Coturnix japonica: one gene and its partner. The protein of the gene in region 1 binds, or shares a complex with, the protein of each later gene. Links are inferred from orthologs where the notes say so. Each region holds a gene or a part of one and is shown on either strand. Other genes may lie near its edges.

What was found.
Region 2: the proteins of ATP8B1 (region 1) and TMEM30A are in contact, whole or in part, in a cryo-EM structure (PDB 7VGI), measured with the Homo sapiens proteins. The link is inferred for Coturnix japonica from reciprocal best matches to the Homo sapiens genes ATP8B1 and TMEM30A. Residues at the interface, in NP_001361314.1 of Homo sapiens: Thr138, His359, Trp362, Glu363, Val366, Ser369, Ser370, Trp371, Tyr372, Leu373, Tyr374, Asp375, Gly376, Arg384, Ile388, Phe418, Asn420, Trp421, Asp422, Leu423, Tyr426, Lys430, Asp431, Thr432, Pro433, His939, Trp942, Arg946, Tyr968, Phe971; in NP_060717.1 of Homo sapiens: Lys24, Thr25, Arg26, Arg27, Pro28, Asn30, Phe33, Lys34, Gln35, Gln36, Arg37, Leu38, Pro39, Ala40, Trp41, Gln42, Pro43, Ile44, Leu45, Thr46, Ala47, Val50, Phe54, Ile57, Phe61, Ile64, Ile68, Ile75, Phe119, Tyr121.

The regions. Positions count from the first base shown.
Region 1 is NC_029547.1:290,700-294,521, forward strand, and holds part of ATP8B1 (phospholipid-transporting ATPase IC), read left to right. Parts: intron 1-859; coding exon 860-1,068; intron 1,069-1,904; coding exon 1,905-1,948; intron 1,949-2,078; coding exon 2,079-2,235; intron 2,236-3,378; coding exon 3,379-3,567; intron 3,568-3,822. UniProt on the Homo sapiens protein: Catalytic component of a P4-ATPase flippase complex which catalyzes the hydrolysis of ATP coupled to the transport of phospholipids, in particular phosphatidylcholines (PC), from the outer to the inner leaflet of the plasma membrane.
Region 2 is NC_029518.1:73,687,067-73,690,888, forward strand, and holds part of TMEM30A (cell cycle control protein 50A), read left to right. Parts: intron 1-221; coding exon 222-329; intron 330-833; coding exon 834-921; intron 922-1,324; coding exon 1,325-1,468; intron 1,469-2,543; coding exon 2,544-2,750; intron 2,751-3,822. UniProt on the Homo sapiens protein: Accessory component of a P4-ATPase flippase complex which catalyzes the hydrolysis of ATP coupled to the transport of aminophospholipids from the outer to the inner leaflet of various membranes and ensures the maintenance of asymmetric distribution of phospholipids.

The DNA of each region.
Region 1 (3,822 bases):
AGGCTGTTCAAAGCCCCATCCAGCCTGGCCTTTAAAACTGTGCAAAACTGGCCTATTTCTGATTCAACATCTGTGATCCCATTAGCATCAGAATTTTCACTGGGTTAACAAAAAGTTGAAAACTGATTTTAAGACTATCAAAGCAATTTCAGTTTACAGTGGCTTTCACATCAGCCTCAAAGCTCCTCAGTTTCACAGCTTAAATCCTTCATAACATAAGGTAGGTCTAAATAAAAAGATTATGGTACCACATTGAACATGAATACAACAGAAAGGAGGTGCTTTTTAATAATAGTAATAAAAATCAAATTCTATCTATTAATCGGGAATTCTATAATGATTTCGTGTTAGTTGCTTCTAACAAATAGCATGTTAGTATTTGTATTAATTCAGAATCACTAGAATTTAGGTATGCGATGCTTTGATATCAGAGTTTAAATGCATTAATAATTTTACCCTCGACAAGCATATCTAGAACATACTTAAAGTCCTTCAGCTTCCTACCTCCACTTCTCCGAATGGTACTTAAAACGCTATTCCTCTGTGGGATTTCTGTTAGCAGTAGGAGCAGCAGCATTGATATTTTTTGGCTTGATCAGGCCATTGGGGCTTTTCTGCAGTCATTGCAGTGTTGAAGTTGAGCTGTGTGGTCTGGCGTTGGTTTGAGTGCCCTGTCTGGGGGTAATGGCAATCTGTAATGAACTGTAAAAATGGGACTGTTTTGGCTTAAGCTCCTGTGTTAAACAGGCAATCCTGAGTCCCTGAATGTACAGACAGAGCCCTCCGGATCTGGTAAAATGTCATTATTTGGAATATAAGTTGCAACGGGCAGTAACAACTTCTGGTTTATTTCATTTAGTGTCGAAGTGATTCGTTTGGGCCAAAGTTATTTTATAAACTGGGATCTGCAAATGTATTACCCACTGAATGACACACCAGCTCAGGCCCGCACCACTACGCTCAACGAGGAGCTGGGGCAGATCCAGTACATCTTCTCCGACAAGACAGGAACTCTCACACAGAACATCATGACATTTAAAAAATGCTGCATAAATGGCCAAAGATACGGTAAGTCTGTGCCATGACGTTGCAACCCCACAGGGAAAACCAGGTTTTGATTTCCATAGCAAGTGCCAAAGTGTTGCAGTACCAAAGGCAGGGTTTGCTGCTGGCAGTAGCACTGGGGACTCCTGTAAGTGTGAGAATGAGTAGGAACTTGAATGCTGGTTTGAAGTCAGGTGCATGGTAGTCTTCTAGTTTCAAATGAACTTCCACAGCATAGCCCTGTAAAGCTCCAACTGTAGTTTTCCCCTTGTTTTCATATTTTCGAAGGGAAAACAGTGGAGTGCAGTCTTCCAGTAGAAAAGTCAGAAATGAGCAATTTACAGACTTATTTCGTTTGTTAGAAATGCTCTGGCACAAAATTAATCCAAGGAACAACTAAGAAAGTGTGGTAAGGGCAGTAGCTGTTCATTTTAATGTTAGTTCCTCCTGTATACAATCTGGTCTGGATTTCAGTGTTTGGAATAACACAGTGATGTTCTCCCTAACAGAACCACTGTTTGTCAATGCAAACAACAGTGTGCTTCTTAAACATCTGACCTCTGGGTTAAAAACAAGGATTTCTGACAATGAAAGCTCTGTTAAAACTACGTGGGTTTTTTTATGAAAATTCCACCAGATGCCTTTTTTCTAATTTTTTTTGTATCACTGGCATAGGCAGGTACACCCACCAGGATAAAAGGTACTGAGGTTGTGAATGAATCCTACTTTTTTTCTTTAATTGGAGATATTCTAGTACAATAGACGTAGCTACTCGATACTTCTGACCTTGTGAATGAGATGTAACAACCTTTTTTTTTTCCTGTCCTGTGTCTTGGAACGGATGGTGCTTTGCATTGCAGGAGACTGCCGCGATGGAGCAGGCCAGCTCCCAAGCCACCCAGAGGTAGGTTGGTGTGAGCCAGCATCACAGCCCCTGCAGTTTGCAGGAGCACTGCCATGCTAAGGTATGGGGAGGGGCAGGTAGGCTCAAAAATTTGCACGTGGGGTAACGCTTATTCTTCTTTTTCTAATAGCAAGTGGATTTCAGCTGGAACATGTATGCAGATGGAAAGTTCTTGTTCTATGATCACTATCTCATAGAGCAAGTAAAGTCTAAAAAAGATCCAGAAATCCAGGAGTTCTTTCTTCTGCTCGCAATTTGCCATACAGTCATGGTGGATGTTTCTGATGGTGAGTATCTTTTTCTCTTGTGCTTCTGGAAACAGTAATTGAAGTCCAGTTGCACAAGAGAACAATCCAAAAGTAGTGTAGATCTCATAAGCAAGGAGAAATAGACTGTTCTTTTAAGTTAAACAGAAGCAAAACCCAGTTATTCTTCAAGACCCAGACCCTGAGCTGGATAAGATCTATCTCTTTGTGGAAGGAAAGCTGTCTTTAGTGATGGTTGCAATTTTGGCAGATGTGCACCTTAAATAACAGCAGATTGAGAAAGGTACTGGAACAGTTTGTATAAACACCTTGTAGTTCCTGTGAACAGTCTTCTTTGTACTCTTTAAATCTCAAAAATAGGAGCCTTAAATAAAATGGAGATGACACTAGCACAATCTATGGTTCCCCATACGCATGTGAAAGTGCAGGCATTTGGAAACTTGTTTTCAGTGTGGAAAGCTGAGTATTTTCCAAATGAAGATTTAATTCATATACTCCTTGAAGTGCAGGCCCGTATGTGTACCCAAATGATGTATATTTGTTCTAAGAATATCAGCAGCAAGTAACAAAAATGAGTAACAGAAAGACTGACAGAAACTAAATATGAATGGAGGTGTGATGAAGAAAATAAGGTTGAACATTTATGAGATGCTCAATATAAGAGGAGAGTAATATTGCTTTACTCCAATCTTAGAGATCTCTCTTTGAAACCATGAGTTTCCCATACATTCCTGGTCTTCCTACTGACCTTTTGAGGGTTGTTTCCATTGTACTGTGTGGTTACCTGTGGACTTATGTTTTGCTTTGGTTTTTGGCACTTCTGTGGAAGTGCTCAAATGACAATACCTGAGAAATTAAGTTATATTTGTTTTGAGATGGAGAAGTTTGTTCTTGCTTTACTACACGGGTGGAAGAGGATCAGTGACTCATCCTGTTTGGGAAGTACCCATTGTAAAAAGAATAGTCGCAGTCCCCCTCCTCTGGTGGCTCTGTCAGCTGCTGCAGCATTGTGTCAGATGCCACTTCAGAAGGGGAAGGAGCACAACACTGAGTGTTTGTCTTTCACTCGCTTTGAAGAATGGGTGTGAGGTTTTCAGCTCTGTGATCCAAGTAATGCTCAGGTGTGCCCTGGCTTTCTTTCCTTCCTACTTGTCAATGATGCAGGTCAGATCAACTACCAGGCAGCCTCCCCAGATGAAGGGGCCTTGGTTACAGCAGCCAGAAACTTTGGCTATGTTTTCCTTTCACGAACACAAAATACCATCACAATAAGTGAAATGGGGACTGAAAGAACTTACGATGTCCTTGCAATCTTGGATTTCAACAGCGACAGAAAGCGAATGTCTGTCATTGGTAAGTTGACTACAGCCAGCCTCTAATTTGCAAGATCTCTTATGGGGAGAGTCACTTGTATATCTTAGGTGAAATGGCTCTGAGACACAAAGTTTTATGATAGATTTTAATCAACGTTAATCTCAGTCACAAAATAAAGGCATTGTAAGTAGGTGCAAATATGTCCTCCCAGCAATCATGGTGCTCAGATGAGGCCTCCACTAAGATGATCCTATATTCCTTTAGTAGAAGCTTGAAGAAATGTGACAAAGATCA
Region 2 (3,822 bases), on another chromosome or scaffold:
CTGCTGGTTTATGGCATGTTGATATTGTTTGACTTCAGGATGCCAGCTTTTGTTGGGATAGTATTGTGTGTATTCAGTACAAAGAGAGTCTTTGAGCATCACTACTGTGAGTGTTACTATAAAGTAAATACAATTTAAGAGGTTGGATTTCCAGGTTTCAGTTAACCAGCATGTTTGTGTGTTTTATTGACCTGTTGTGTAAATCAAAACCCTTCTTGTAGAGTAACGTCTTCATGTATTACGGACTTTCTAACTTCTATCAAAACCACCGTCGCTATGTGAAATCTCGAGATGACAGCCAACTCAACGGAGACAACAGCTCATTACTTGTAGGTATTCGAGCTTTGATATTTACAGATACTAGTAGGCAATGAACAGCTGACTTGCATAAGTTATCACAGGGCAGAATAACTAGTTTAATAATAACGTAGCTGTAGAATTTTTGTATTCAACAAACAATAAGGTATTCATATTTTTTATTAAAAATAATAAACGTTCTTTTATTTATTAAATTCTTAATTCTTTTATTTATTAAAAATAAATAACATTCCAGTTAGAACATTTTTTCCCCTCTTTTAACAGTTTCTAAGCACAGTCTTAATTTTACAATGACCATCATGGGATTTTTGACTTTATTCATATTTTATCTAGAATATTTTCCTGCTTGTAAAGAAAAAAATCAATCATATCGATTAGCAATGAATGCTGAAGTATATGTAAATAAACTCACTCCTGAGAATATTTTGTAGTAAGTGTGAGCTGTGTACGTGTGTGAAGTACTGAAGTATAAACTAGCACAGACTGATCTGCCTTTTTTTCTTTCTAACTGTCAGAATCCAAGTAAGGAATGTGAGCCTTACCGCACCAATGAGGATAAACCCATTGCTCCCTGTGGGGCTATTGCCAACAGTATGTTTAATGGTACGGTAACACTTCTGAGTTTAGCACTGAGGTGTTTTTGTGTTGTGTATGCTTTGTACTGATGCTTTATTCTGGGTATTATTGTGGATTGTTTTGTTTTGAATTAACACACCTTAATTGTTTGGAATGTTGAGATTAAAATACCATTAATAACCACCACAGTGAATTTAACCTGATAGCACACAAGGGATTGAAACATCTGTTGTGAGTGGCTGTTATGGCTGTGGAATAAAGATGCTATACATGTATAACGCACTGCTCTGTATGTGTGTGGATTATTACAGAACAGTTCTTGATTGTGGCAATTTGTTTTTCCTGTAGATAATTATTTTACTGCCTATCAGGATCATTCATCTAATAAAAGCCACTCTTATCTGGTCTTCCAATTTGATTTTCCCCATAGATACATTGGAATTGTACCACATCGAAAACGACACAAGGACCGCTATTACTTTGATTAAAAAAGGCATTGCGTGGTGGACAGATAAAAATGTGAAGTTCAGGAATCCTACAGGAGATGGAAAGAATTTAACTGCGCTCTTCCAAGGTAAGAAATGTGTGAAATTTTAAGAACAAAAGATTTCAAACACATTGATTGCCATGGACTTCACCTCAATGGTGACATTGTAGTGAACATGTTAAATATATTGTTCTATGAAGAAGTCCAAGCTAAGGACTTCTCTGCTTTCTGGAAGAGTTGTCTGTTAACAGTGGATGCTGCAAATTTAATGCAGAACTAATATAATTTTTTCTAAATTCACTGTAGTCATTTAACATGTAAAAATAGAACCTGGGCTTATTTCCTGTTTAATCTTTCTGAACTTTCATGAAAGCTCTTTCTGTCAGTTGCTTGGCATCAGATTAGTTTTGCCTTAGCAACTAATCCAATTTGTTAAGATGGTGAAAAGATTCTTGGCTTAAGTGATATTTCAATTACTTGTTGCCGTTTGGGATCTTGAAATATCAAATCAAATTCTGATATATATATATGTGTGTGTGTGTGTGTATATATATATATGTATATATATAATAGCTCTTGATAACTTTTTATGCCTTGAATACTGAGAAAATCCTCGTTAAGTGCAGTGCTATAATACGTGGTTTTAACTTCAGAAGAAATCCTGTGATTATTTAACCAAACTGTGTGAAATTTTCTTTTTTAATGTTTCTACTGGTAGATCTTACAGTGCTTTTTAAAATCTGATTATTTGTGATCAGATTAACTGATTTTTCTCAGTTATAAGGTTAAATGTAGTTAAGTACAGCCTGGTAAGTCGGAGTTTCTTTGACAAAGTCTAAAAGCAGTTTTCCTTCTGGGCTTTTGGGTCTGTGTGTATATGTAAGATAGAAAATAGCTCTAGGTTTAGCCTGATATGTCTTGCTTGCTTAGTCACAGCCAAGTGACCTTACCAAAGTGATGTTACCCTTGCAAAGGCAGATGCCATACTCTAATGTTCCTGAGCAGTTCAGTAATCTTGCAGTAGCAATGAGCCAGTCTGGCTCTTCGTACTGCTTAGGATTCACTGCATGTTTTTTATGATACTAGAATGAATTTTGGTGATCCAGTGCTTCATTTAGTCCTGTGTTTGAAATGCTTTATTGTTGTTTTTGTTTAATCTTAGGTACAACAAAACCAGTCAACTGGCCCAAACCAGTGTATATGCTGGACTCTGAGCCTGACAACAATGGCTTTATCAATGAAGACTTTATCGTGTGGATGCGTACTGCTGCTCTGCCAACATTTCGTAAGCTGTATCGTCTCATTGAGAGGAAGAGTAACTTACAGCCTACCTTACAGGCTGGAAAATATTCTTTGGATATCACGTACAGTATCCTTTGAAAATGCCCTTAAAAACTCCTTAGAACACTGTCTGGGTTACATGGGTGGACTTTTAAGGAAGGTTAAATCAAATGAGACTTTATAATTGCTGTCTTCTGCATATAGTTTATAGAACTAACTTATGTTTGTTCTGTTAAGATCATGAAATTCAGTTCCGTAGCTTCATAAAGGGAAATGACTGGGTCATCTTGACTTCAGAATGGCCACCTGAAGCATGGAGTTGTCTGAGCTAGTTATGCTAAAGTAAGAAGTAGCTCTAATTAAAAACCAAAATCCATTGTTCTAGGAAAGAGAGAAAGCTTTCTTTGATGCATAGGAGGGATGTGACAGTCTGCAAAAACCATGTTCCTGTCTCATGCAATCACTCAGACTTGTGGTATGTCTGTGGCTATACCATATAGAAAGTCACAAAGAATTTACTATATTATAGAAGTTGACTTTATGGTGAAGGTTTTGCCAAGGTGACTTTCGTAGAATCATAGAGTCACTCAGGTTGGGAAGGACCTTAAAGATCATCAAGTCCAACCGCAGCCTAACCATGCTACCCTAACTAACAGCCCTCTGCTAAGTCATGACTCTGAGCACCACATCCAAATGGTTCTGAAACACATCCAGGGATGGTGACTCAACCCACCTCCCTGGGGAGCCTATTTCAGCGCTTAACAGCCCTTTCATTAAAGAAGTTTTCCCTGATATCCAGCCTAAACTTATCTGGTGCAACTTGAGGCCATTTCCCCTCATCCTGTCACCAGGGAGATCAAGTATCTTTTTGAGAATATTATTCTTTAGAAATGTAGGATTTTACCTCTTGTGTTTCATTTTTAACTTAAAGCACATCACACTTGCCTGATGACGAGGGTGGAGGGAGAAAAACACAATGCTGCGGAGTCAGCTGGATCTTCAGATACAATCTAATACAGGAATGACTTGTAAATTTGTAGCCTTATTGCAAGTTTTTTCACTTAGGCTCATATTCTTCAATGTAAATACAGTTTTAATCATAATTTTCTTAAACTATTGTGTAGCTCTCATAGAACTGCATTATGTATTTAATGAGGATG